Linked DNA regions of Macaca fascicularis. The protein of the gene in region 2 purifies or fractionates together with the protein of the main gene of each other region. This does not show direct contact. Links are inferred from orthologs where the notes say so. Each region holds a gene or a part of one and is shown on either strand. Other genes may lie near its edges.

Region 1 (2,700 bases), on a different chromosome or scaffold from region 2:
TTGCAAGCCATAACGTGCCCCCAGAGTGTAGGGGGCCTTGCGGAAGCCATAGGGGGCTGCAGGGGATGTGTGGGAGGCAGAAGCCTATCTCAGGGAGGGAAGGGGATGGAGGCCACAGTCTCCCAGTGGGTGATGCTTTTGCTGCTGCTTAATCCTACCCCCTCTTCAGAGCAGAGTGGGACTTGGAGAGCAAAGGCCCATACCCCTTCGCTCCTCCTCTCATCATTTGCATTGGGCATTAGTGCCCCCCCTTGAAGCAATAACTCCAAGCAGGCTCCAGCCCCTGGACCCCTGGGGTGGCCAGAGCTTCCCCATCAGCTCCCATCCAGCCTCCTCAGGGGGTAGGAGAGCACTGCCTCTATGCCCTGCAGAGCAATAACACTATATTTATTTTTGGGTTTGGCCAGGGAGGCGCAGGGACATGGGGCAAGCCAGGGCCCAGAGCCCTTGGCTGTACAGAGACTCTATTTTAATGTATATTTGCTGCAAAGAGAAACCGCTTTTGGTTTTGAACCTTTAATGAGAAAAAAATATATAATGTCGAGCTCAAGAACACTGTGTGTTTGGTGTCATTGGGTCAAGGGTTGGGGATATACACGGCAGAATTTGGAAACGGTATACATCAACAAAAACATTAGTCATAACAAGAAAAACTGGCGCCTGGCACAATCAACTCTCAGTTTCCTCTTCACTCAGCAGCATGTTGGGGATCCCGCGGCTGATGGGGAACATACGTCCAGACTCCGGGCACTGCAGGGTGCCCTCTATCACTTCCACCTGCGGGCGGGGAGGGACAGAGCTGAGCACTGGCGGCCTCAGTGAGGGAGGCAGGTGGCCCAGGAAGCAAGTGATGGGCCGCTTCTCACCTCCAGCAGCAGATGGTGCATAGTCCTCAGAAACTCTTCATTCTCCTCATATCCCTCAACCGGCCCTTTAGGCACCTGGATCAGGCGCAACTGTGGGCAAGAGGCGAAATTATCTCCGGGCATCCCGAACTCCCGCCTCAGCCCGGCTGAGGTGTGCCCGCCCCGCACTCCCCGGGATATGCTCGGGCGGGGTAAGGATCCTCACATTATCGGCCGCTTCCAGGAACGCCGCCCACTCCACCTTAGGTATCATACGCGCCACGAAGTTGGGGTTGAACTCCACAGGGCAGATACGGACCTCAGTGGCCTGGCAGGGCGGAGGAGTTTAGGCAAGCACTGGACCCTGGCCCACCATCCCACCCGAAAAGGGAAGCCCGCCGTGGTACCTGGAGGCGCAGGGGGAAGCCACGGGACCCCACCCCCCGCACATGCGAGCTCAGCAGATTGTGGGTGAGCAGTTTCATATCGCCGAACAGGCTCTCGTCAGGCCGGAACCGGAAAGAGGGCGTCCTCCGCTTCGTCACTTCCGGGGATGCTCCACTCGATGCTATTGGTTGGCCAGGAGAACCGGAAGTGGCGAACTTACTGGAAATTCTCGTGCTTGCGGGAGCTGAGCTAGGTAAGTGAAAGACCTGTCGGGTCACGCGCCACTACCGGAAGCGTCTCAGCAGGAGGTTCCTACAGCGCACGCCCAGCTTTTTTTTTTTTTTTGCACAAATCCGTCGTATCATGCAAATCATATGCAAAATAGCTGCAATGCAGGGGCTCTCGTTGAATGCAAAATAAACATGTTTTACTCCTACACAGGCGCCTAACACCGTCGTCTTCTGTACCCCGCTTTCGGCTAAGGGGCAGAAATACTGCCCTATCTGTAAATTAGACCCGTGGAAGCCGAGCGGCACCTCATTCTTATATGCAAATTAGCTGCCCCAATGCCGAAAGCTCTGCCCAATTTGTAATTGCGTCTGCTGTCCAGCTAGCCCCCAAGGCAAATGAGGCGAGGGTCCCGGAAGCTCTGTTACACGCGTGGCCGCTCGCGCCTGCGCAGTGGAGGCGGCCCAGGCCCGCCTTCCGCAGGGTGTCGCAGCAGTGCCTCCAGCCGTGCCCCGCCTGCTGCGGTGGCCCCAGCTAGGGGGCGGAGTGAAAGTGGTCTTAGGGCGGGTATGGGACTAGCCGGCGTGTGCGTCCTGAGACGCTCAGCGGGCTATATACTCGGTGGGGCCGCCGGTCAGTCTGTGGCAGCGACAGCAGCAGCAAGACGGCGAAGTGAAGGAGGGTGGGCGTCTGGCGGGGTCCGCAGTTTCAGCAGAACCGCTGCAGCCATGGCCCCGATCAAGGTGACCGCTGGCCCGGCCGGGCCTGACATCCCCCACTACCCCCATGCCAACCCCCGTCGCGCTGGTCTGGGAATATCGCCTTATTTCCTGCCTGCCAGACCCCTCCCCGCCGGCCGCCCCGCTCATCCCTTCAGAAGGCCCTCGTGGCTGCCCACCCTTCTCGCCAATCGTGGGGACCTCACCTCCCGGGGCAGTTCCGAGGCATTGTTTCTTTTTTTTTTTTTTTTTTGAGATGGAGTCCCTCTGTGTCGCCCAGGCTGGAGTGCAGTGTCGCAATCTCTGCTTACTGCAATCTCCGCCTCCCGGGTTGAAGCGATTCTACTGCCTCAGCCTCCTGAGTAGGTGGGACTACAGGTGGGAGCCACCACGGCCGGCTACTGTATTTTTAGTAGAGACGGACGGGGTTTCACCCTGTTGTTCAGACTGGTCTGGAACTCCTGACCTCAGGTGAACCGCCCGCCTCGGCCTCCCGAAGTGCTAGGATTACAGGTGTGAGC
Region 2 (3,500 bases):
CGAAGGCCCAGAAAACAAGCAGAGGTAGAATCTGAAAGGAGAAAGTGTAACGTGAGAACTGGTGGAGAAACCCCATAGGGAGACAAGTTCTCACCAGCCCGTCTCCCCACCCCGCCTGCCTGGACCCTGGTGACCCACACCCCAACACTCCTCTGTACCACTGAGTGGCCTGAAAGGGCTATGCCACTACCCTCCCTCCTGCAGCCCAGGCAGCACACCAGCCCCCAGCGCTCACTTCTTTGCTTTGGCACTGTTAGGGTAGTCCACCACCATGCCACCGGAGAAGCCCGCCTTTGTGGCCTGGGTTGTGATCAGCTCCAACTGAAGAAAGAAAGGCAGTGGGTCATGCAGCGGAGGCGAGAGGAGCAGACAGCTTTACCTCCCTCCCCTCCTTCAGAAACCAGTCTGCCTCAGGACGAATCCTGCCTGGGAGAACTTAAGGTCGCTGTAAGCCAGGTAGAGAAAAGTGCAGGCATGGCCCACACCTCGCTCAGGAGAATTACGGAACAAAGCTACTCCCCTCATTCTCACTTTCCAGCACAGGGACCCAGCTCTCCACTCAAGTTTAGGAAGGAGATGGCCACAATTGGAAGCCAGACTCATTCATGTTATTAGTCAGGGACAGCTCTTCACTTATCTTTCAACATCTACATCCTGCTCCGCCATTCCTTAATTATACATCACACAACAGACAACTGTCGGTGCCCTCTCCCCCTTCCTAAATGGCATTCACTTATTTGGTTATGGAAATTAGTCGTATCATCTTATCTATAATACCATGTCATCTGCCAAGGGAAGACATACCACCCCACCTCCGCAAATGCCACCCCCTTAGGATATCAGGTCATCAAATGTGCCATCAGGGGCCACACTAGGGTGCATGTTTTCTCCTTTTCCCGCCAATCTGCATAAGGTTCTTTGTCGCTTCCCCAGGACAGCTTACCTGTTGAGTCTCCCCGCTCCCCTGCACACCCAGTAGCCAAGGGACTCACCTGCTCTGAGTTCTCAGGGTATAGCTGCAGGACAGCTCGGGATCCCCGGACCTGAAAGAAACAGGAACATCACTGTCTTACAAATGACCACATCAGCTTAGGGCCTGGACACCCTCCCTTCCTTCATTCACCGAGTATTTCCTGAGTTTCCATTATGGATGAGGCACCTCTGTTAGGGCTGGGGATAGTCATGAACAAGAGATCAACCTGAACTTTGGAGCTCACATTTTAGTAGGGGAGGCAACTCATTCACAGTAGCAATTTTTCCTTTGTTCCAAAAAGAGGAATTGGACAAAGTGACAGTTTCCTTTCGGTTCAGTTTACTTTCGGTTCCAAAAGGTCTGTTTCAGATGGACACTTGAGCAGAGATTTGAATGGAGTGAGGAGCTGGCTGTTTAAACGTAGAGGGGAAGAGCCTTCCAGCAGGGAGAAGAGGAAACATAAAGGCCCTCGGAACTACAAAATTAAGCCAGTACGCCAGGAGGAAAACTCTCATGACACACAAGACCAGTGACCAGATCGGCAGGGGCAGTCCACCCCACGCAAGACCAGCGGCCAGATCGGCAGGAGGAGTCCACTCCATGAAAGACCAGCGGCCAGAGCGGCAGGGGCAGTCCACCCCACACAAGACCAGCGGCCAGATCGGCAGGAGGAGTCCACTCCATGAAAGACCAGCGGCCAGAACGGCAGGGGCAGTCCACCCCACGCAAGACCAGTGGCCAGATCGGCAGGGGCAGTCCACCCCACGCAAGACCAGTGGCCAGATCGGCAGGAGGAGTTCACTCCATGAAAGACCAGCGGCCAGATCGGCAGGAGGAGTCCACTCCATGAAAGACCAGCGGCCAGATCGGCAGGGGCAGTCCACCCCACACAAGACCAGTGGCCAGATCGGCAGGGGCAGTCCACCCCACGCAAGACCAGTGGCCAGATCGGCAGGAGGAGTTCACTCCATGAAAGACCAGCGGCCAGATCAGCAGGAGGAGTCCATTCCATGAAAGACCAGCGGCCAGCCGTCGGCAGGAGCAGTCCACCCCAGGAAAACTAGGGGTGGGCTGGACCAGGCTAAGGAGGCAAAAACCACTCAGATCCTTCAAAACGGACTCATTTTTAAGCTGGCACAGTGGCTTACACCTATAATTCCATCACTTTGGGAGGCTGATGCAGGAGGATTGCTTGAAGCCAGGAGTTTAACACCAGCCTGGGCAACATAGCTAGACACCATCTCTAAAAAAAAAGAAAGTAAAAAATTAGCCTGGCATGGTGGTGTGTGCCTGTAGCCCAAGCTACTTGAGAAGCTGAGACCAAGATTTCGAGGGCGCACTGAGCTACCATCATACCACTGCACTCCATCCCAGGCAACAGAGCAAAAGTCTGTCTCAAAAAACAAGTAAGATTTAAAAAGAACTCATTTTTAGGACCTAAAATCTCAGACTATCATCTAATCCTAGTGAACAACTGAAATTAACATCATTAGTTAAAAAGGCAAGATAAAGCTAATAGAGGCTCTCTCTGCGGTAAATAACTATCCTGTTCCCCATCCGAGGAAAAGGATCAGAATCAGGTGGAGGGAGAAGTGAGGAGTCAGAAGCATGTGGGCACTTTGGAAGGTACCCCTCTGGATGGTCTCAACACGACAGCTCTTGTCCTCACTCTGCTCAGTCCATGCCCCCAAACCAACTTCTGATCCCCAAACCAACTTCTCATTAAAACTCAGAGTAATAGACATAGGAATACCAATCAACAGAAGTAGGCCCTATTACAAGTTACTAAATTGGTCTCCGATTTTGCCATCAGTGACTTCTGGGTTTGATTAGCGTATATCAGTCCACTGAGCTTGAACTTCTTTAGGCTGAGAACCTGGACAGAAGCAACCACAGTAAGGTCCTGCGGTCCCATATGAGTAGCGTTCCCATCATGGGACACCTCAATTTCCTCACTCTACCTGCAGGGCTACGGAGGGACAGGCAGCTAACCCAGATGGGGAGAAGATCTTATACTCACGAGAACAGAAAAAAGAGAAGCAAAAAAGCAGTACAGGCGCTTGGCAGGGTTTTCAGACTTCTTGTTAGCATTACACAGCCACTGCACAGCAGAAATGCTAAAAAGGAACGGACCTAGTCAGGCAAGGGAGCAATCCACATTGCTCCCCTCACCGCTTCAAGCTTCTCGACATCATCCGTCTTGGATCTCCAAGAGAAACCCCTCCTCCCACAGCTTCCCTTCTTAGAAAGTGCAGGTTCAGGCCACGTACAGTGGCTCACGCCCTGTAATCCCAGCATTTTCTGAGGCCAAGACAAAATTGCCTGAGGCCAGGAGTTCAAAACCAGCCTGGACAACATAGCAAGACCCCATCTCTACTCAAAAGTATTTTAAAGTTTAAAAATTTAAAGACAAAGAAAAAAGTGCAGGTCCACTGCAGGTCATGATTCTACAACACTGGGAAAATAGGACATACAGAAGGACAGCATTCATGTCCCTCAGTCAGTCCCAGAAACCTTTCCTCAACCT

The links. Proteins that work in one complex are often made in the same cells at the same time.
Region 1: the proteins of BUD23 (region 2) and TRMT112 purify together in Homo sapiens (affinity purification with mass spectrometry; 5 studies listed by BioGRID and IntAct, counting the BioPlex papers as one, with this or other methods). This does not show direct contact. The link is inferred for Macaca fascicularis from reciprocal best matches to the Homo sapiens genes BUD23 and TRMT112.

What each region holds. Positions count from the first base shown.
Region 1 is NC_088388.1:10,077,411-10,080,110, reverse strand, and holds TRMT112 (multifunctional methyltransferase subunit TRM112-like protein), read right to left. Parts: upstream 1,369-2,700; 5' UTR 1,331-1,368; coding exon 1,253-1,330; intron 1,174-1,252; coding exon 1,072-1,173; intron 957-1,071; coding exon 867-956; intron 778-866; coding exon 670-777; 3' UTR 501-669; downstream 1-500. Other genes in the region: PRDX5 (peroxiredoxin-5, mitochondrial), read left to right, coding at 2,030-2,203. UniProt on the Homo sapiens protein: Acts as an activator of both rRNA/tRNA and protein methyltransferases. Together with methyltransferase BUD23, methylates the N(7) position of a guanine in 18S rRNA.
Region 2 is NC_088377.1:52,562,753-52,566,252, reverse strand, and holds part of BUD23 (18S rRNA (guanine-N(7))-methyltransferase), read right to left. Parts: intron 3,091-3,500; coding exon 2,994-3,090; intron 1,044-2,993; coding exon 993-1,043; intron 322-992; coding exon 236-321; intron 32-235; coding exon 1-31.